3 linked regions of the Coturnix japonica genome follow. The protein of the gene in region 3 purifies or fractionates together with the protein of the main gene of each other region. This does not show direct contact. Links are inferred from orthologs where the notes say so. Each region holds a gene or a part of one and is shown on either strand. Other genes may lie near its edges. The genes, in order: YBX1, STAU1 and LRRC59.

Region 1 (7,429 bases), on a different chromosome or scaffold from region 3:
AGACCTGTTGGTCATTTTTCTTTGGAGCCTTTATGTGTGATCTCGGGTCAAAATCCAGCTGAATATCTTCGGTTCTAGGCATCTGCATTCTTCCTAGCCACACCTTAGGGAACATCTTTCTTCACACTGCTGCCTTTCAGCTGCCTCTTGACAGGAACGGGGTCCCTCCCCCCCAATTTCAGACAGTTAAATGAGTTATTTGTAAAGATCCTTTCAAATCAGCTCAGAGAAACTGGCAGTTTTGGTTATAAACCCAAAGCCAGTCGCAGGTGTCTGGACTGGAGACAGGTTTGACACGAGCTGGTGCAGCAGGTAGCGCACACTTCAGCACCCTGTGCTGCTGTTGTGGGATGCTGAAGGTGGCTGCTGAGCATCTGGGACTGTTTGTTCTCCTCTGTTTCAGTGCTCCGTTATGGGTGGACAGGCCTTTCCCAGCTCCACGCAGCTCCAGCCAGTATCCCCACTGTCCCGGTCCTCCTCACAGATGTGCTCCTGAAATAACTAAATAATTGGAATATATCTTCTTTTTTTTTTAAAGTATTGAAATGTAAATAAAGGATTTTGTTTAATATGTGCGTAGTGGATATCAGTAAACATGTTTGGGAGTGGATTCTTTAGGCAAAAAGGCCTGCTGCTTTCATTGTGCATTGCCCCGAGCTGATTCAGCAGAGAATGTTTCCCTTGTGTGGTGGTGAGAGACATTGCTTCAGGGCATTTGCTAAGGGGAAAGCAGAGATGAAAGGAACACACCTGAGCTGTGCTGCACCAGCGCTGCCTGTGGGGCTGCCCTGGCAGAGAAGTTCTGGGGGTTGTCCTGAATCTTTCTACATGTCACTTTATTGAAGCACAGGACAGGATCAAGGCATGATGGGCAGGGTTTTCTGGGCTCTGGGGTGAGTTTAGTTCTGCTGTTAGTCCTCTGGGCCAAAAGGCATCAGGTTCCTTTAAGCCACTGGTGTTAGAGGAATTAACATGGGTGTTAGAACGGTGTTAGTAGAAGGCATTTTGTCCAGCAAGCAGAGAATGAGCAAGCTGTAGAATTCAGGACTCAGAGTCATTACAGAGAACAGAGTTGAGGCTGAAGGTTTGTGGTAAACCTCTCATTGTCAGACTGGGATTGCAGGCTTGTCTGCTGGGCAGCTTGAAGTCACCCTTTGTGGGTGCTGGGCACCAAGGTGAGTTTCCCCTGCAGCACTCTCAGTCTGTGCTGTCACGTGCAGCTGTTTTGTCCCATCCCAACCTGCTCCTGGCTCAGCTCGATGCTCCATGAGCTTTGCCTGAGGTGCAGAGTGTGGGGCTGTCTGAGGGTGGTGTGGGCTGACGCTAATGTGTGATCCTTGTGGGCATGCTTTGGTGTCATCTTCTATCTAACAGCTGTTTAAAATCTACAGGACAGGCTGTGAGACTGCACAGCTGCTGAGAACACTTGCACTTGATTCTCTCCTGCTCAGCGTGTCTCACTTGTACATGCAGTACACTGGGTGATGAAGGAAACATAGCATCCCCATAGCACCCCCATGGCACCCCATAGCATCCCCACAGCATTGCCATAGCACCCCATAGCATCCCTGTAGCGTCCCATAGCACCCCATAGCATCCCTGTAGCGTCCCATAGCACCCCACGGCATCCCATAGCATCACCATAGCACCCCATAGTATCCCATAGTATCCCATAGTATCCCATAGTATCCCATTGTATCCCATAGTATCCCATAGTATCCCATAGTATCCCATAGTATCCCATTCTGGCTTTGCACGGCCAAGGTTTCTCCTAGGAGCCAAGGGCTGAACATTCCCCCACGGAGGATAAAGCTGGGCCCTGTTCCCATCTGTGGGTTATTGGTGAGCAGAAAAGGAGACGTTTGTGCTGATGGGACGCACCCAGATGCCACTTTGCCATATAAAGCACATATATCTGCTCCGTTTGACACCCGATGCATTGAGTATCACCCTCCCAGCTGTGATATTAAACCGGAGCCGGTTTAACCGCCCGTTCCCCATTGCAGTCACAGCCCGGGGGTGTCTCTGGGAAGCGGCTCATTAAACCCGGCTTTGAGCAGCGCTCAGAGCTGCGGCCTGGCTGTGAAACGGCCCAATTACAGGCGTGTGCCTCGAGGACACACCGTGCTGTAATGACGGCGGCTCCTGCTCCACATCCGGGCCGTCCCCGCGGCCCGTTGGCTCGTGTTACCGTCGGTCCGTTACGGACACACCGGGCACAACGGCCGGACCCGCAGCGCCGCGACCTCGGCCCCCTCAGAGCCGGCGACCAATCAGAGCTGGGAGGCGGGGAGAAAGAGTAGGCGGGAGGAAAAAGAAGCCCAGCAACCGCCGGCTGCGCGACCAATGGGAACGCGGGGATGAGGAAAGGCAGGCGGCGCGGCCAATGGGCTTTCAGGGAATGGCTAACGCCGGGAGGGGAAAGGCGCACGGGATTGGTTCGCAGAATGACGGGCGGGGCGAGCGGCCAATAGCGTCGCGCGCGGGCGGGGCGCGCGGGGTGGCTAGCCGGTGCGGGCCGCCATTGTGGCCAGTTCGATCGGTATCGGGAGCGGAGAGCGGAGCTCAGCGAGCCCGGAGCAGGGAGCAGCCCCCCCACGGCCGGCCTCAGTCACCATCACACCGCGGGAGGCGGCGCAAACAGCCAGTCACCACCACCGTCCGCACCGAACAGCCGCCGCCATGAGCAGCGAGGCCGAGACCCAGCCGCCCGCCGCCCCCGTCCCCGCGGCGGCTCCCGCAGCCAACAACGCCGAGTCCAAACCCAACGGCGGCAGCGGGAACGGGAGCGGCGGGCTGGGATCGGCGGCACCTCCCGCCGGCGGGGACAAGAAGGTCATCGGTGAGGGACGGGGGCAGCGGGGGGCGGGGGGGCCGTTCCCCACACAGCCTCCATCTCCTCACATCCACCCCCTCCATCTCCATTCCATCCCCTCCATCCCCCCCCCCTCACATCCCGTTGGCCGTTGATGCGCGCGCCCGCTCCCCTTTCCCGCCCCGTTCTCCCCCCCGCGCGCGCGCCGCTCTCCGCCGGGCCCCGCGTGTCGGGTGGGGGCGGGGCGTTGCGGCTCAAGATGTCCGCCACGCGGGGCCTTTGTGTGCGCCGCCCCGCCACGTGCCGCGCATGACGCCGCGCTCTGCTCGTCCTCCTTCACCCCCCCCCTCCCCTCTCTCTCTCTCTGCCAGCAACGAAGGTTTTGGGAACAGTGAAATGGTTCAACGTACGGAACGGTTACGGCTTCATCAACAGGTGAGCGGGGCGGCGGTGGGGGTGGGGGGGCGCGTGGGGGGTGGCGTGGCCTGCGGTATAAGGCCTTAACTGCTTCCCGGCGCGGTGCTGCGGGCTGTCAGTACGTTGTTTAAAGCTCGGTGTGAAGTTGAGGCTGTGAGGAGTCAGAGGGATTGATGAGCTTCAGTGAGAGTCATGAGCTGGGAAGGAGCAGCTGTGGGCATCAGCGCAGGCTGCTGAGGGGATATCTGCAGTGAGGGACCTGGTGGCCAATAGGGTGACTATAAACCAGGAAGGTTGTGTCTATAAACCAGGAAGGTCAGCAGCACCCCACAGTGTTGTTAGCAAGGTGAGGGAGGTTCTCCTCTCTGCTCTGCCATGGGGAGGCCACATCCAGAGCACTGGGCCTGGTGCTGGGCTGCCCAGTTGAAGGCAGGCAGGGAACTGCTGGCAGAGCACAGTGGAGGGCTGGAATGAGATCAGGGCCTGGAGTGTCTCCTGTATGAGGAAAGGCTGAGAGGGGATCTTAGCACTGCTTCTAAGGAACTAAAGTGCAGGAGTCAAGTCTGTGGGGGCAGACTGTTGTTGGTGGTGTGCAGCACAGAGCAAGAGGCAGGGAGTAGAAGCTGGAACACAGGAAGTTCCATAATAGCACAAGGAAGAACTTTACTGTCAATAGTGGAGCAGTCAGCCCAGAGTCGTGCTTACTTATCTACAGATGTTAAAGACCAAAGGATAATCACCTCTGTGACCTGTGCTGGGGAACACACCTTAGCAGGAGGTTGGGCTTGATCTCTAGAGATCCCTTCTGACCCATACAGTTCTGTGATTATGTGATGTCTAGGCCTTGAGAAACGTGCTGTCAGGCTGTTTTCTCTGCCAGCAGCTGATCTAGAGAACGGTTCTTCCCTCAGTCACTTTGGAGTGCCTGCAGGTGGTGGTGGTTCTGCAGAGCCCTGTTTTTCTATGTGGTGTTGTCATGGAACAGCCCTGGAGGATGTTCCTCTGCCGGGTACCTGGGATGCAGGAGGCCCCAGGGCAGCTCTGTTTCCTGCTGGAGTTCACTGCTGCTTCTCTCGTTTGTGACAGCACGTGGCTCTGAGGAGCAGGAAAGTGCTGTGAGCTCCATCAAGTTACCACGGTGAAGAAAGATACATGGAATGGGAGCTGGTGACTTCAAATCTGCTGTCACAGGGGTTGACAGGAGGAGGCTGGGGAATCCTCCTCCAGGGAAGCAAGTGTTGGTACTGATGTTTTCAGGAAAATTTGGCCTAAATGTCATCTTTTCATCTACCTGTTATACTGTGGCCTGGTCTTCATCCTCTGAGCTCTGACTGGTGAGCAGCTCTAAAGCCTGGCCCAGTGGTGTTTGAGTGTCAGGTGTCAAACAGCTGTTAGAGGAGCCCAGCAGCATCCCCTGCTCCTGGAGGTGCGTGCACAGCTCCAGCTCACTAACAGCCTCTGGGAGGGTTTTTTCCTGTTCCACTCATAGCTGCTACATGAGTCAAGTGTGGAAGCAGGAGCAGCTAGTTAAGACATCTGAATGGCTTCCCCGCTCATATTATATTGGCATCTGTTTAATCCCTGAGGATGCTGTTCCTAATGAGAAACACAGCGTGAGCTCCTGTTATCAAGAGATGAGAACTGAGCTGGAGCACATTTCCCCTGCTCCCAAATAGCTCAGGCTCACCACAAGGGAAGCCGCAGGAGCTTTGTTTGGGTCTGCTCGCAGCTCACGTTGGCTTTGGTTGTAGCCTGTTGTTGTATATTAATATTAAGTACGTCTATTATTCCCTTCTGAAATATTAGCTTGGATTCTGTCAGCTGTCAATGAAACAACTGAATGTGCTGGCTGTTGAGCTGCTCTTGTTGCCATAATTGGGGCTGCACACTGATAACTGGCTTTGTATTGACAGCTTTGCTGTGTTTTCTTAATCACCGCTTGCTCTTCTGATTTTTATTACTATTTTTAGTAAGAGGTTAAAGATACTAAGAGCATCGATGAGCTGAGTGCCTCACAATGGGCAGCTCCTGTTGTGCTTCCTGTCTTATTTACAGATGGTTATTCCCACACCATCCGTGTGGCAGCTCATGTGCTGCTCCTCGATGGGCTTAGTGCAGAAATCCCATGGCAGACACTGGGTTTTAGAATTAACCAGGAGGGTTCTGAACAAATCACATCTCCACCTTAATCTGCTTCAGTGTAACTGAGTCGTTTACTGAGCCAGAGCTCCAGCATGATCTTCAATGGGAAATGTGATGTAGAAAGGGCTCTAAATGAAATGAGGAGCAGCTGATGTGCTTGGAGGAATGGGGTTTGGGAGGAGTGCAGAGCATCCACACTTGAAGAGCTCTGCATTTGTTGGGAGCACAGTGAGCACTGACTGAATGCAGGCGCTGGGCTTCCCTCAAGGCCCTCAGCTGGAACATCTATGATCTCATGTTGTGTTTGTAAGAGTTTTAGGCTTTTTAAGAGCTTCTGGGTGCTGCCTGGTGGGGCTGGGGCTGAGCTGATCACCTTCTGTAGCCCTTTGGATGAACTGTTTTCCGTCAGCTCTGAGGTCAGTAGTTCTTGCAGGCGTCAGTTCCATAAGGAAATGGGTGTGTGGTGCTGGTACTGTGTGACGGGGCAGCTGTAACTTGGATCGAGTTGTTCACAGTATTGTTATTGCCGTGTGTTAAAGGCACGGGGAGGAGTGACTGGCTTTAAATGAGTCCAGTTCTGAGCACTGCAGCACTAGCTGTGCCTATAACATGTATTCTAGGAAATAAAAGGCATTCAGCAGTTGATTCATTGGGCTGTGGAATGACTTGAAGTGACACTGCAGCAAGGCTCAGCTGGTGTGATGTGAGCCTGAGGGCTCACAGCTTGTGAGCGGTGAGCACAGCTCCGGGGCTGTGCTGTGTAACTGTGGAGCAGGAAGCTCCCTGTGCCCTGCTTGTCTGTTAGCCACGCTGCTGCCCTCATAGAGCATTCATCACTGCAGGAAATGGAGCTGGGGACGCAGGCTGTGTGTGCTGCTTTTCATAGCCTGTGATGTCACATCTTCCACTGTGCTATCCCAACTGATGGGCTGTCAGGTGTTTTTCCTCCGAGCCTGTTGGTGGGATATGTGGGGAGGGAGGAAAACACTCAGCACCTCACACAGGTCCCCAACAAGGTCTTTCTTTGAGGCAGCCTCCCCTTAGAGCAGGCTGAGCAGTGCAGAGCTGACAGCTACTTGTCCCGGTGCTCCCCTGCTTTCCCCTCACCCCTAAACAACTGAATTTGAAGCTGGGCCCTCACGCAGCTTGTCTCACATCTGAATTTCTCTTTGGTGCTGTCTTGCAGGAATGACACCAAGGAAGATGTGTTTGTCCATCAGGTAAGATGGGCTGGGAACTGAAACGTGTTACCTCTTTGATACGCGCTGTGCATGACCTCAGCCAAATGGGTTGGAGGGGACAAGGGTTTCCTGTCTCCCTAAAATCACTGCTTACGTGCTGAAACTTGTGACATCTCTTATGATGGATTTTATTCCATTTAGGGAACAAATGGACCCACGTTATGTTGCTGGCATTAATTTGTTACTGGCATTAAACTTGTTAAAAAGTTTGCTGAGTAGAACGTGGCTGAGAATGGTGCTTATAGAGCACGTGCTCAGCTGTCAGAAATGCAGTATGCTGCTGAACAGCACAGGAAATAACCCCAAATAACTATTTTAGTCAATGCATACACCTGATAGGAATGTACAGAGTGCTTAGAGAGAAACTTCTGATGCAGCTTGCATTGTTTGGGGGCTATTTTGTATCTCTGACTGGAATCGTATGGGCAGATAGTCCTGGAACAGCTGTAAGGCTGCACAGTGCTCTGGGTAGGTCAGAGCAGTAATAAAGCACACACTGGCTTTGAGTTCCCATTGTGGCTTAATGACTTGTCCAGGAGGATGTCTTAATAAATAGATTCAGTCCCCCCAAAACACCAACACAAACTTGAGATGCACTGAGTAGCGTTTTCCTGTTGTGAATGTAACTGTGCCATATTATGTTGTCAGACTGCCATAAAGAAGAATAACCCCAGGAAGTACCTCCGCAGCGTAGGAGATGGAGAGACCGTGGAGTTTGATGTGGTTGAAGGAGAGAAGGTAAATGCGTCTGGGCTGTTGGAGCATGCATTGAACTGCAGGTCTGCGGGCTTTGCTGTGGTGTTGTGGTTTGAGC
Region 2 (7,582 bases), on a different chromosome or scaffold from region 3:
CAGTTATAGTGTGGTTTCTTTGAGGGACACACTGAGCATACAGAGTGAACAGATTTCTCTTACTTTACTGGTAAGAATGAGAACTCGTTGAGATGGACTGCAGCAAGCCAGAACCTTTCTGAGAAGCAGCCAAGGAAACTCTCGTTAGAATAACAATTTATCTTCACATTCACCATATTGCACTTCCTGCAAGGTGTGTTTTTCACTTGTTGGACAGACATCATGTATGATTAAGTGCCTTCAGATCAACGAATGCTAGTGTATAGCTGTTCATCAGAAGATTCAGAGTTGACTGCCTTAGGCATTGTGGCCATGGCACTGTTAATGATATGTTGTTTAGTCCTGATTACTCTGCAGGTTCCAGAAGGCATACAAGTGTTTATTTACAACATTTAACCTTTCAGGGAAATGACATTTTCAAGTGTAGTGCAGGCACAAAGATCATCTCTTCTTCAGCATACAAGGAAAGGTTAATAGCAGAACCCTCACCTTTATTCAGGTGGAAACATTATTGCTACTTCTGACATCTCCTGTCCTCAAGATTTAGGAAGCAACACAATGTTCCACAGAGCTTTATCTGTTGATTTTAATGGAAACTGACAAGCAGGGCAATAACAGTTTTCAGAAGACTGATGAACTTCTCTGAGCCGCCCTTCAGTGTGTTATTTATTACACAGTTGGACAAATACGAGTTCCCTCAGAAAGCTTGGGCTGGGAACAACTGCTGTCTGTGGATCTTCTGAGGATCTATGAGCATCTACTTGGATTTCAGACGAGTCCTGCACATCGTGGAGCTGTCACCAGTTCTCCCTTGTAACTGATAGTGGTATTACATGTATTCAAGGGAAAAATTATCACTTCTTTTTGAATACAGAATTGGTGAAAGGACATTGTTTTGCATCCCTTGATGCCACAGAACTAATCTGCTGTCCTGGACTATTTAAATCCTACTGACTTCTGGTTCTCAGTTTGTAAATACTGTGTCATCTGTTAATACCAAACACCTTATTCTTTATAACAACAAAAATCCCACAGCCCTCCAGACTACTACATCATCTTTTTGCATGGGTTCTGAATGGACCAGGATGAATCCAGCAATGGCAGCAGAACCTACAAAGTTCTATTTCCTTTTTTCTTCACTTAAACATGTGCTGAAGTAAAAGTCATCCTTCCAACCAGCCAGATGTTCCATTCTAAGAATTACCTGATGAGTCCAGAGCACGTTCCTTCTCACAACTGACTTCTGCTTTCAGAAAGTAGTTTTCTTTAGGCTCTCAGCCCTACTTGAAGGTACCTTCCACCAAGCCGTACTTCTTTGATTGTTGAAGTACTTCTGCACTTGTTCTGTGACCTTTCAATGCGAACATCCTTCCTGTAAAGCTGTCAATGGCCATCCAGATTTGAGCTGTCAGAGGAGCCAAAGAAAAAAAATTAAAGCAGAGAAGAACAAAATGCAATGGAATAAATGCTTTATTTTCCCTTAGCCTCCTCCCCCTATTCACTTAAATGAAGTAATTACTGCCTTACTGTGACTTAGAGGAAATGTGGCTGTAAGGATAGGCAATAGCAGATATAACGGCTTTAAACCAGTTTAGTATCACCCACAAAAGGTAGAGGTCACAGTCAGATAATACAGGAGTTGCTTACCCAGTTTTCTCTCAGAGTAATGAGCCACGTGAGGTCAAAGCTTATACTGGACTTAATGTTTTGTATTCAAGATGAGATTAGAAGTAAATACGTTATTATGAAGTAATTAATAGGAAGCGAAGAGCCAGATAAGCAAAATGGAGGGGGTTTGGCACAACTCCGTGGGATATTGAGCTTAACTGCGTTTTCATTTCCAAAAGCTGTGAAGAGAAATTCACATCCCTTTTATTTCCTTCCAACTCTCACAAGTTGTGAGCTGCAAACAGGCCTCTATCCTGACCCAAAGCTGCTGCACTAAGAATGGAAATAAAACTGAACTTGCAGTGAAATAGTTTTGTATTTCTCTCTCTTCCCCCAACTCGCTGCACAAAAAGCTGTTAATGTAACAGACAACATTCAGCCTTTACAGTAACAGTTACACAATTTCACTTCCTTCTGAAGTTTAACTGTTGCTTGAATGGGATCTAACAGCACAGATGATGCAGCAGACCTCAAGAACATCCAAGCAGGTGTTTGAATGTGATACGGGATATATGTGTCTGTATAAATGGAGAATGGTTTGTAACTGCTACGTTGTCAATTGATGTTATGTGTATCACAGGTTTTCTTTCCGGTATCTTTGGAATCCATAGCGGTATTAAATACACCCATGGATATGAAGCTTTAGATCCGTTCTTGGGTTGTGGTTTGTTTCAGCTCAGTGGGTACTTGTGATTCTCAGCACTGAACATGGAGGCTGTTGTGCTTACAGTGGACTGAAGGTCCATCTGTCAGGTTTGTATTGCTCTGGAAATGGCAGAAATTACCATCATGTCACTTAGTGACACCACAGGGTTTAACCTTGTGATTTAAATTGTGTTTTTAACCATAAACTCGTGATTTAAATTGTGTTTTTAACCATTAAGAACGATAAAATATTCCTAAATCACTCAGTGCTCGCAGTGTCCCTTCCTGCCATATAGGCCTGACCCTGCTCTGGTGGTTGCAGTCCCGGTTGAGCTGTGCCCGCGGTGCACGCTGGGAGTTGTAGTCCCACACACACAGCCGACCTGCAGCTGTGCCGCGAGGCACGCCGGGACTTGTAGTCGCCCTAAAGGAGGCGGTGCTCCCGTCGTCCCGCGCTCCCATTGGCCGAAAGCGCGGAAAGGGGCGTTTCCTTTGGGGCTTTGAGCGCTTCCGATTGGCTGCCCGCCTCCCCCGCCTCCCGCCTCGGTGGCGTCACTTCCTCCCCGGCCGGAGCTGGCCCCGCTCATTCTCTTTAGTGTTTGCCCTGTACCCGCCGCTCCCTCCGCCGTCGCCCCCCGGCCCCCCCCGGGACCCGGCCCATGGACTGAGCCGCCCGCTGGCCCGCCCCGCAGCCGGCCCGGGAGCCGCAGCCCAGGCAGCCAGGTGAGGGGGAGGCGGCCCGGGCTCCCCCCGGTAGCGGGGCGGGGGGTGGCGGCGGGGCCTAGCGAGGCCCTGGGGAGGGGCCCGGCTCCGCTGTCCCCCCGCCCCGCTCCGGGCCCTGCCCAGCTGAGGGGGGAACGGGCAGGTGGCGGGGGGGGCCGCCCCAAAGAGCCGCAACGGGAGCGGCCCCTGCCCTGCCCGCCGATAACAACGGGGGGATCCCGGTAGCACCCACCGGGAGGTGACAGCGGGCGGAACGGCGCCTGCCCTCGGCCCGGCCCTGTCCCGTTTCAGCGTGTGCGGACGATGGTGACCGCCCTCGGAGCGGGGCTGTGTGAGCCGGGGGCTCTCGGGGTGCTGCTCCTCAGGAGCCGCCCGACCCCTCCGGTTGGTGTCAGCACAGCAGCCCGCAGCCTTCACCCCGCGGACATCGCGGCGCTCACCCCTTGGAGGCGGTGGGCAGTGCTGCTTTGCTGCCCGCGGGCCCCGTGCTCTCCTATGGCTGCCCCCCGGTCCCGGTCGGTTGCAGTGATGATGTTTCCCCGTTCCTTGCTCTCGTCACGTAGTTTCTCAGGAGCCGTGGTAGCAACAAGTTCTTGTCGCATCCTTATTGCTCTCTGCCCCGTTTGTGCTCTGTGTGGGGTGGTGCTGTCGCTGGGAGCAGTGACAGCCGCTTCTCGTCGATCTGTATTTTGGGGTGGTTTTTTTTGGGTCCATTTTCTGACAGGTTAAAGGCAAACCTGGAAGAACGTCATTGGGAATTGATAGGCAGCGAGGTGTATCAATAGCAGTGAAATGAGATACCTGCATGGAAGGCCCCTGCCTGCTTTTAGGGCAGTATATTTAAAGAAGTTCTTAAATCCTACCGATGACACACGACCTCAGTGCGCAGCTGCTCCGTCCATGCTGACAGATCATTACTTTCTAAAAACCTTTTCACAGTGAGTTTTGACGACACAGCGATGGCTGTGATGGAGCAGAGCGTCCCTGATTTGTCCATTTATCATCTTGCAATGAGATATCGTGGTACCAAGCAACAAATCTGTGTGCTCAGACTGCTCTGGAGGTGGTAGCTGTCATAACTTAAGCAGATGACCATCACATCCTGGTGAAAGCTTTAGGATTAAATAGTTACAATTGTTTCTGCACGTACCTTTTTCTGATATTGGCTCAGAATTTCATTTCAAAGCTGCTCTGAAGTGTTTTATCACAGAATCATAGGACGGCCTGGGTTCAAAAGGACCACAATGATCATTTAGTTTCACCCCCCCCTGCTGTGTGCAGGGTTGCCAACCACCAGAGCAGGTGAGATAACAATTCTTTGTGATTACTTTAAGTAGACTCTTTCAGCAGTGATTTGTTCTGAGGACAACACGAACTTTCACAAGTGTTTAACATTGTGCTGTCTGGAATCCTTGCTGGGGTTCCTTATTGTGTGAGAGTTCTTGGAGATGTGGCTGGAGCCACGGAGCAGATCTGTGTGTGGTTACCATGTGAGCTGTAATTAGTAACTGTGGCTCTCTGACCTGTCGTACTTCTGGGAGCAGCAAGCAAATATGAAGTGCAGCACCCAGCTGGAAGCAGCCATGTGAGTGAGCGTTCATCTTTGTTGGTGATCACCTCATCACCTTCTAGTTGATTCTCTTGCACTGTTTGGAGCTGTCTGGTTTATGTGCACATCTGTCAGCTCCCTTCTGCTCCTTCAGGTTTTACTTTCAAGTCGTAGCTCTTCATCAGCTTTCTCTAATTCATGACCCGTTCCATTGCTTCTGAACTCTCGTGTCTTATGGAGTTTTATCTTAGAAAGAACAGCAGCTTTCTCTTCAACGAGTGCTGGTTTTGAGATGGTCCTACCCAGATGCTATAGAACAAGATTTGTTGAAGATGAAGGCGCTGCTCAGCTGTGTTTTACGTGCTGTGTAAATAGCCTCGGGTCTATAAAGTTTGAAGTATTGTTTATCTTTATTGGTAGAGTGTATTTATTTACAGTTCAGTTGTAAATGACCAAGTGTTGTTGATGCTGTTACAGAAGCCAAGTGCTTTAGGATTTCATGCTATATACACAGAGCTACTGCTGTGCATTTTTGAGATCTATGTTAGGAAATGAACCATCTCAGCAAACCTGTTGGAATTTGTGGAGATGTGTGTTGCCCCCAAGTGAGTATGCAACAAAAGAAGGAGGTTCTGCCACCATATCTGAGTTATTTAAAGTTCCTTTAGAAAAGGCTGGAGGAATGGAGTTGTTCTGAAGGGTATTTTGCCCAGCAGTGATGGATGCACAGCAGCCTTCCTCAGTCTGAAGCAACGGGTGGCAGCGTGGCTGGACCAGTGGCTGCTCTGCTGTAGGTGACCGTAGGTGTGTGCTGGGCTGGGCTGCCCCAGTCAGAGAGTGCAGTGCCAGAGGGGGAGGCAGTGAGTGCTGTGTATCCCATGGGTCATTGTTTTGGTTGTCTGGATCCCACCTGGGTACTTGCATCTCTTGGTAGAGTTCAGGCTTGGGCTTTTTTTGGTCTCTGTTGAGTGGATGCATTTCAGGGAACCGTCCTGCTTGGTGAACAACCTGTCAGTAATGAGGAAAATGAATCACCTTTGCTCTGCAACTGAAGGGGCAGCAGCTGTTCAGGTGCCTTGTGTTGTGAAACATCCCATTTCAGAAGGAGTTTTTTTGTTTAGATCCTTGTTTTCTGTAACAAAACTCTTTCTTGGTTATTGTCTATGACACAATTTTTAGCTGCTCATCTCAATCTGTAATTTGTGTCCTGATGGGTTTGTCTGGTATCAGTTTCTCATTCCCCTCTGCTCTTGTACCTAAAAGGCCCCTGTCTGCTGCTGGCAGCTCATGAATTGGTGCACAGAAGGTTTTAATGAGATATGCCTGCAAGCTGTGATAGGCGGCTTAATGGCATGTGGTTACGTGTGGCACTCCAGATGTGCATGTCCTAGAGAACAGAACACCTTCACATCTTCTGCTACTGACAGTGAATAAAATATATTCTTTGGGAACTCGGTCTCTGTTGTGTTCTCAGCTGGCCACTCGGCGCTTGGAGCACATCTGTGGTACATCATTGTGAGATCCTCTTTTTCCTAACCTGATCTTTGAGCTGCAGTTGCTGCCCCTCAATGATGGGGAAGGACTGGTGCTGGTGTTGCATCTGTTTGCAGTGGCAGCTCTGAGGCCTCATTCCAAGTGTGTGTTTGTCAATTACTTCAAGTTTGCCAACAGTTCATCTCCATCACCCACAGTGATATGGTGCGTTGCAGTCCTTACTATTAGAAAGTTCTGTCTCCATGTATGTTTAAGCCTGCCACATCTTGCTCTGTCACTTCAGGCATGGAGAAAGATTATTCCTTTCCACCCCAAGAGCTGTGTTGTGCTTGTGGGCTGCTGTTGTCAGCCCCAGCTTGTCAACCCCTCCTCTTCAGCATATGTGAGCCCAAATCCATCCATGTTTCTTATAGGATATACTTCTCTAAAGCTCAGAGGGCCACCTGCTTTCCCTGCTTTATTATTTATTGCTAACCGGGTCCATATTTGTCTCAAGGTGTGGTACCCATGTAGTATGGATGCAGTGCTCCAGCTGAGGGCTCAGTAACACTGATTTGGAGTCATGGGCTGCTTCTCAGGCTGTTCTGCTTCAGGATGATGGTTGCTTTTTACAGAACAGGCTTGGAATTTGCCTTTTTCTGTATCCTCCTCTGTTCGCAGGGTCTGCTGATGACTGGTTACAGCTCTAGGATTCATTGTAGGGTTTTAAAACAACTCAAGCAAATTGAAGACCTCGTGCATCCTGTTTCTCTTCTAATCTTAATCAAGGTTGGGGCCTTACCTGCTGTGCTGCTGGTAGTAACGCTACTGTACTACTGGACACCTGTGTGCAGTTGGCTTTAGTCATGGAAAAGGATTAAACACTTTGTGCTATATTTTTAAGCAGAATAAAACAATGTTTTGATTTCCATTTAGAACAGTCCACGCAAATGATGGATTTCATATTTAGCCCCCAAAAAAGATTAGGAAGCTTCTAGTAAGGTTGGTTTTTTTGTCTGAGGGAAATCATTCTGTGATGTTTGCTGTAGGCTTTTGTGGAGCCAAGTGCTAACTCTCTCTTTTTTCTTCTAGGGATTCTCCGTCATAAATACCCTATTCACAACTAAATCCAAATCTCCCCTGACTGGATCTTCTAAAGGTACAGGAAACTTACTTAAAACGCTCGAGTTTCTTACTTTTTACTTGCATTATATTAAAGAAAGCTCATGTTGTGGTAAAGTGTGATGATCCCCAGGAAGTGTCTGTTATGTGACCCTGTGGCTTTTATGTGCAGCACTTTGATAGTTATGATACAGGAAAAAAAAACACAAAAACACAAGAAAATTTGAGGATTATCATGAGGACAATATTGAGACAGGCAATAAAATTTAAAATACCGATGTCTGATTTAGCAGAAATAAGTATGTAAAGGTGGGAAATGAGTGAGTTATGTGATTTACAATGGTATGTGTAACATGTGAGTTTGTTCATCTATCTGTCACTCTTAGCTTGTAGGTCCCAGCA
Region 3 (7,457 bases):
CCCCGCACAGAAAAGCTCCGGGGCCTCATCCTCACTCCTTAACACACAGATCCCAACCCAGCAGACGGATCACAGCCGGCCCAGAAAGCGCTCCCACCCAGCAGGCACCCATCAAACCTTATAAAGCAGTCTGGATCAGCCCCAGGAGCTGCGTGTGATTAACCCTAGCCAAGGTTTTACAGCCGCTGACATAAGATAACCAGATTCATTTCTCATCTTTTCCCATCTCTGCAGGAATCACCACTCAGGGCGGTGTGAGCTCACTGCACCGCGCACGTGGATCGGAACCGACCCAACTGCAGAGCTCGGACCTGGGGAAGCTCCGGGCCGCCACGTGCAGCTCCTCATTCGTGCAGATCTGACACGGCCACCTTCCCAGAGCAACGAGTTCTGGGTCTTTTGTATAAAGCAACTGCAAGGAGAGTGGTGAGCCGGCACTGCTCGGCGCTGCCTTCACCTCTTCTTTGCTCTTTAACGCAGCGCAGTTGGCTGCGAGGTTAATCACCGTTTGATTACTTTGTGTTTGTTGACTTTAGTCAGAGGGATGGTGAGTGTTCACAGAGTGCTCGGGTTTCAATTCCAGCAGACCGGCTGTGCTGTCCCGTGTGAGCCTTTCCCTCCTGCGCTGGTTCTGCCCAAAGCACAAGTACCGCTCAGTGCTAAGAGCAGAATTTCAGGCGTCTTCACGTTACTAGAAAGTTTATTCTCAATACTCGGTGCGAGTCACGGTTCCTGCCACCCAGCTTCACCCGGAACGCTGGGCTGGAGTCCAACCTGCAATCAGCGTTCTGTGCTGCTGCCCTCCTGATCCTCTTTAGAACAGATGTTGAGACGGTACCTCCCCATCACAGCGCAGCTGAAAAGAATTACCTGCATGCGAACCCTGCTACTTCTTAGAAGTCGCGCCTCCGGGTAGGATTAGAGGCAGAATTTCAACTAATCCTTCCAAGCATCTCCGAAGCCAATTGCTTTCCCGTCGCCGTTTTTCCCAGGAGCTCGTTTCAAAAGGCAGCGTTAAACAAAAGCAAGAGCCGACCAGCTGCAGAGCTCGGAGCCACGGCCCCGCCGGCCCCGCACCGCCCTGCCCAACAGCCTCTGCACGGCCCCGCAGTCCCCCCGTCCCCTCCATCCCCCTCACCTTGCACCCGGCCCCCGGTAGCTCCCCCCCTCCCCCCCACCTCCCAGCCCCGTCCGTACCGCGCACGCAGGAGGAGCAGCCCGCGGCGGGGCAGAGCTGCGAGCAGCGCGGCTGGAGCCATGTGTGCGGTGATGGCAGAACCGGGGGGGCCGGGCCACCTTCCCGCTCCGCTCCGTACGCGGCTCCGGTGGGGGCGGTGCGTGGCACGGTTCGGCCCGGCCTCCTCAGCCCCGGTTTGGCCTCGCCTGGCCCCGGGGAGGGCAGGGCTTGGCTTGGCCGGCCTCGCCCCGCAACACCCCGGCCCCGGAGGAAGGAGTGGGGGTGGGAGCTGGGACCCCTACTCACCGCCCCCCACCACTGCCAGGTAGAGCAGGTTGCAAAGAATCTTCTCTGCGTGAGGTATCCCATTAGAGCAATGGGGGACGGGGATGCTGCGTGTCCCAGGGCACGGCCGTGGCTTCCCGGGATCCCTCCTTTCCTTCCCGGCCACTGGCTCGCTGCTGACAGCACTGAACCCCGCCGCCCTGCTCGCTTCCCTTCCCAGCTCCCTGCCCTGCAGCAATGTCCCTCTGCTCAATCCCAGCCTCAAGCACTACGCTGCAGCCGCCCTGAACCCTACAAGCAAACCCAGTGCCTTGGCTGACACGGACTTTGCTACAAGGACTGAAATTGACAAGGCAACCAGCGCTGCTTGCTTCTGGTTTTCTGCATCTGTCAGAGCTCTATGAGTCATTAATTGATTTCAAGCCTTATTCACATGAGTTATCACAGTTACCACTTCACTAACAGCTTTCAGCACTCCCTGGCTGTCTGTGCCCCACCACATGCAAACAGAGCAGTGAGGAGATGCAGAGCTGGGCACGCCAAGGGAAGGGGGAGGCAGCACCCAGAGGAGCCCTGCAGCACACGGCAGCACTGACACAGGCGCAGAAGGGCTGGCGTGCATGGCATTCCTTGTAGCAAATGACTGATGGACTCTGGGCACTGCTGGGAGCCGGGGTATAAATGTGGTACCAGAAGGTAACCTGTGTCTCAAACATCACACGGCCATTAACCAGGCGGTGCCACCAGCAGTGGGCTGAGAGGTGGCCTGATTCTCACCCAGCCACTGACCTGCAGGACGATCACTAGCAGTTCATTTTGCAACCCCTCTGCCCAGATGGGCACCAGAGTTCAGCAATGGGAGATGCACAACAGATCTTATGAACAAGGGCATCAACACTGGCTGCAGAGAATCTCAGAAATCAAAGCTATAAAATATGCTCACAGCACAACCTCATCATGAAATGCTGATTGCAACCAGAGGAAAACAAAAATCAGTGTCCGTGATAAAAACAAACAAACAACAAAGAGGTGTAAGACCTCCTGTCCCCAGCACAGATCTGCCCTCTGAACAAGTAAGTGCACATATGTCACAATGCGTGTTTGGGCTCAGAAACTCAAAGCTTGTCCTCACCATAATCCCGTTACTGGGGAGCTCTGATTTGGTTCTATCTCAGGAAAAACTCTTCCACCGACTTTTCTGGCCGTGGGTCACCCGGGACAAGAACAACAGAGCACTTTGCTGGCGGAGCTTTTGGATCAGAGGAGAAGATGCAGAATTCCTCCTCGCAGAGCGGAACGCCTCGGTCCAGCTGCAGCTCCCGAGAGCCGAGTTCGGTGTCCGTCCGGTGGCGGCGCTCCGGGCCGGCAGGGGGCGCTGTGCAGCTCCGCGGTGCGGACGTGGACGCGGAAGTGGCTGGCGGGGCGGCCATGGCGCGGGGCGGCGGCAGGGCGAGCAGCCTGAGGGACAAGTTGGACGGCAACGAGCTGGACCTGAGTCTGTGCGGGCTGAGCGAGGTGCCGGTCAGGGAGCTGGTGAGCGTGCGGGGCGATGCCGGCTGCGGGGCAGCAGCGCCGTGACCCGCTGTGCGGGGCTGGGCAGCAGATGGTGCCGGGTCTGTTTGTCAGCGCTGCCCGTCCGTGCCAATAACTGCGGCTTTTCTCTTTAAATAAAGACACAGTCCCGGCTGCCGGCCCGTCGGGATACAGTGTAGCTCCGCGGAAGGGCCGATACAAAAGTAGCACCTTCCAGAAGCTCTCTGTGCCTGCACCGCATCCCTGCGCTCATCCCGTACTTCTCTCCCTTTCAGGCTGCGCTTCCAAAAGCGACCGTGCTGGATCTGTCCTGTAACAGCCTGGTTTCCTTGCCGGTAAGATGCCCGACCGCCCTGTGACGGTGGAGCAGGGCTGGTAGGAAATACCGGGCAGGGCTCCTTAGTGCTCCTGCAGCCCTTGGCTCAGTGTGAGCTGGGGGCTGCTGCCAAAGCAGGGCAGGTAACGAGGCAAACATCAGCAGCACTGAGCAGAGAGTGCAGAGCCCTCCTGCCAAAGACCCGGTGTGAACACAGAGCGGGTCCAGCAGCCGCAGAAATCCAGTTGTTTCAGCTGTATTGCTGCTCACCGCCATCTACATCACTTTCCTGAGGCAAAGGGAGCGGGGGGTTCTCCCCCACCCCAGCTGTGTGGGAAGCTGAGGATCTGTGGCCTGTATCAGGTGCAGACCCTCCAGCACATCCCCGCAGGCCGATGCTGAGATGCTTTCCCTGCTTTGTGCTTGTTTCAGTCAGATTTCTGCAGTTTGACGCACCTGGTGAAACTGGATTTGAGTAAAAATCGGCTCCAGCAGCTGCCCGTGGACTTTGGGCGCCTGGTCAGTCTGCAGCACCTGGACCTGCTCAACAACCGCTTGGTCACGCTGCCCGTCAGCTTCGCACAGCTCAAGGTAAAGCCGTCAGCCGGGCGGTTACGTAAAGCTTTGGGATGCAGCCCAGGGTCTTGTGATCCTGCTCGAGTTGATTTCTCTGGTGAAGCATCCATCCATCCTGCTGACTGCTAGTCCAAAATCCAGCCGTCTCTGCACCGCAGCCCGGTGGAAATTCTCTCCCATCTATTGAGAGCACCGAGCTCGCTGCTTGTCCTCTGTGCCCATTTCATCATCCTTGGGAAAACCGAGTGACTGCTTCTGCTTTGAATGTCTTAAATAGCCACGAGTCTGTCGTGCTGTTTGTGGTCAGCTGCCTGCAGTGTGCTCTGACAGCCTGTCCTCCGCGTCCCTTCCTGCAGAACCTGAAGTGGCTGGATCTGAAGGACAATCCCCTGGATCCTGTTCTAGCTAAAGTAGCCGGAGACTGCCTGGATGAGAAGCAGTGCAAGCAGGCAGCGGTCAGGGTAAGGAACCTGCCTGCTCTTTTACTCTTGTTTCTTGTCTTTGGTGGCGATGTTTCTTCCTCTCTTTACTGAGCAAGCTCTAAAGTTCCTTCAGCCAGTGAGGTGCCAGTTCTCTGCACTGATTTTACTGCATCCATGGCTACAGAGAAAACAACTGAGCTGAGCGGGACTTTCCTCCCTTAGTAGAATTAAGAGGACTAAATGCTGCTTTGCTGAGGAACTGAAGGCACAATCAGACAAAATAACTTGTGTATAGGCTTTGTTATACTCTACAGTATAAAAATCTTCATAGAAATATTATGGGAAGCCATAGGGTCATGTAAATAGCTGTTGCTGGGATTCGTGGAGTAAAAATAGTTAAAATATGTACTTCTGTTACTGCCTTGCCATGCTCCCGTGAAATAGTTCAGTCTGATGAAACAAGCTGTTCCATGATCCTCTGTAACCGATAGCACCAGTTTTCCATATCATTTTAAAGCAGAGACCTCTGTTTCTTAACTGCAAAGATTCATGTAGCAAGACTTCCCTTCAAGTCATCCCTGCAGGGCTCAGTCAGCTGCGGCCATCAGAGCAGATCAATGGTCAGATCCTCTGATCCTTCAGATACGCTGCAGCCATTCCGCTCTGAACTCCCCCCACCGTGAGCCTTGTGCAGACATCTCAACTTGTTCTCTTGGACCTTGAAGGTACTGCAGCACATGAAAGTGATCCAGTCCGAGCAGGATCAAGAAAGGCAACGAAAGCTCCAAGCAGAGCGAGGTAAGCACGAAGTCCTCACGTGCACACTGCTGAATTCTGCCCATAGAAATGATTGCCAGCAGGCAAATAGCTGTAACTATCGGAATTCTGAGCAGGGTAGAATGGCTGGGTGGAGAAAGACAACCTGGGACACTATGCTGGCTCTTGCCTTCCTGCCAGAATCATAGGATGGCCTAGGTTGGAAGCTACCTTAAAAATCATGTAATTTCAACCCTACTGCCATTAATCCCCAGAAATGGAAAAGAAGCGTGAAGCAGAACAGCGAGCCAGGGAGGCTCAGGAGAGGGAACTGAGGAAGAGAGAGAAGGCAGAAGAAAAGGAACGCAGACGACGGGAATACGATGCTCAGAGAGCTGCAAAACAGGAGGTGGAAAAGAAAACTAAAAAGGAGACTGCGCAGACCCGAAGTAAGTAAGAACTCCACAGGGAGTTCAGGTAAAGTGTATTTTAATGTCTGCATTGTGGAAAAGAGTGAACAAGACCACTGGCACAGAACTGCATTATGCTTAACCTGCATTATAGCTTTGATAATGCCAGACTTGCATTCATGCAGCTCAGGTACTGAGTGAGACCAGGAGTGGGGGAACTGCCAGATTACATTTCATGAAGTTCTGAGTGTTCCTATGAGCTTCCTTTCCACTCATTTAATCTTAGATGTACTGAACTATGGTTTAAAAACAGATCTTGTGCAGCACACGGATGCTCTACTCCTTTCTCAGTTCTTCCCATGAAAGCAAGTCTCATGCTTTTCACCTTAAGTAATGAGTTTTTTGAGAAAACGTGAGCATAGCACAGGCTAAAAAGCATGATGCTGGAGCATCGCATAGACTGTTAAGGATATCTGAATAATTCCTCACATTCTGCCTTGCAAACATTCTTTTTGCAGAGCCTGCCTCCAGTTCTCGCCCACCTCAGCCAGCCCGGCACAAGCACTCGTGGTCACGGTCGGTGCTCAGGGTGTTGCTGCTGGTGCTGCTCTGCATCCTCTGCACTTTGGCTGTCTGCAAATTGACAGAGCTGCAACACCAACCACTGTGTGTCAGTGTGAACACTCTGTATGAAGACGTAGTTGCTGCCGTGCAAAACCACAAAACCCTGCAGAACATGCTACAGCAGAACTCACAGCAGTGATCGTCCTGGATGGGCACTTGCTTTGTCAGCATCTCCTTTCACCATCCACGCAGCCAGAATTCCTATGGAATTGTGTTCTGATGAAACTGCTTTTTATCCGTCAGCATTAATTTGCTGGTCCACTCCGCATAGAGTTATTGTTTGGATCATCGTTGCTGTGCATGTTTCTCAGTTGGCCTGTCACTCCCATCATCTGCCTAGATTAACTTAATACCACTCACCTCCAAGGGACTTACACTTAGATCTGAAGACACAGAAAGATGTCAATTTATAGGAGTGGGGAAAAAAGACTTTCAGTTACCTAGGTAGTTGTAGCTCAGTAATGGAGGTATGAGTTTTTTTAATACATATCCATTTCTCGCTCTCGTTTCTATTAGTGCTAAAACTGATGACATGGCTGTATGGGAGTATTATATGTAGGCCTACTCCAGGACCAATTACATTTGTGGAATGGCTGTGCATCTGTATGTTGGAGTGAAGAAGCTGATGTACTATTGAAAGAAACTGAATGTTTTCAATATAACATTTTTTGCATCAATTTATCTGAAGTGAGTATTTATACTGCTAGCACAGGATCCTGTTTCCTCTAATTAGGTACCTAGAGACAGCTAAAACTGATTTCTGACTGCGTACAGTAATCACTCGTTTTAGCCAACTAGGACCAACAAAGGAGCTACAGCTCCATAAGGGCTTCTTGCCAGCCTGCAGTCTTGTCAAAAAACGTGTGAGAAGGGGGGGGATCTGACACATACAGACAGGAGTGAGCTGCTGCAGCAGCACACAGCGCTGGGTGGCACTGTTGCAGCAGCACAGCCTGGCACAGACTCACCTTGGGGATGTTGCAAAGGTTGGGAGGTTTGGCACATTGTCTATAGAAGAAAACTCAGCCGTGTGAAGGCATAATAATTCTAAATAATCTCCACACAGAGGAAAGCCAAACAAGTTTGTCATATCCTCACAGGGTTCGTGATTGTTAAAACAAGTTGAAATGTAAATGTAATGATGTAAGTGCAGGTTTCAGAATAGCCATGCTACAAGCTCCACAAACAAATACCTGTGTTTGTCACCTGATCTACTCCCTCTTTTGTAATACCTGGAATGACTGCTGACTGCATTATCACACTGACACGAGGAATGGCAATTCCTCTGTTCCTCTGTTATTGCACTGTTACAAGTCATTTATACCATTTCATATCAATGACCAAGGTCATTATTGAAA

What was found.
Region 1: the proteins of LRRC59 (region 3) and YBX1 purify together in Homo sapiens (co-immunoprecipitation; 3 studies listed by BioGRID and IntAct, with this or other methods). This does not show direct contact. The link is inferred for Coturnix japonica from reciprocal best matches to the Homo sapiens genes LRRC59 and YBX1.
Region 2: the proteins of LRRC59 (region 3) and STAU1 purify together in Homo sapiens (affinity purification with mass spectrometry; 3 studies listed by BioGRID). This does not show direct contact. The link is inferred for Coturnix japonica from reciprocal best matches to the Homo sapiens genes LRRC59 and STAU1.

Annotation. Positions count from the first base shown.
Region 1 is NC_029536.1:5,557,689-5,565,117, reverse strand, and holds the start of YBX1 (Y-box-binding protein 1), read left to right. Parts: upstream 1-2,506; 5' UTR 2,507-2,682; coding exon 2,683-2,842; intron 2,843-3,186; coding exon 3,187-3,250; intron 3,251-6,560; coding exon 6,561-6,594; intron 6,595-7,263; coding exon 7,264-7,353; intron 7,354-7,429. UniProt on the Homo sapiens protein: DNA- and RNA-binding protein involved in various processes, such as translational repression, RNA stabilization, mRNA splicing, DNA repair and transcription regulation.
Region 2 is NC_029535.1:5,662,784-5,670,365, forward strand, and holds the start of STAU1 (double-stranded RNA-binding protein Staufen homolog 1), read left to right. Parts: upstream 1-2,877; 5' UTR 2,878-3,036; intron 3,037-7,150; 5' UTR 7,151-7,217; intron 7,218-7,582. UniProt on the Homo sapiens protein: Binds double-stranded RNA (regardless of the sequence) and tubulin.
Region 3 is NC_029533.1:9,092,664-9,100,120, forward strand, and holds LRRC59 (leucine-rich repeat-containing protein 59), read left to right. Parts: upstream 1-2,717; 5' UTR 2,718-2,731; coding exon 2,732-2,995; intron 2,996-3,270; coding exon 3,271-3,330; intron 3,331-3,743; coding exon 3,744-3,902; intron 3,903-4,243; coding exon 4,244-4,348; intron 4,349-5,034; coding exon 5,035-5,107; intron 5,108-5,340; coding exon 5,341-5,514; intron 5,515-5,993; coding exon 5,994-6,238; 3' UTR 6,239-6,780; downstream 6,781-7,457. Other genes in the region: ACSF2 (medium-chain acyl-CoA ligase ACSF2, mitochondrial), read right to left, coding at 1,198-1,259.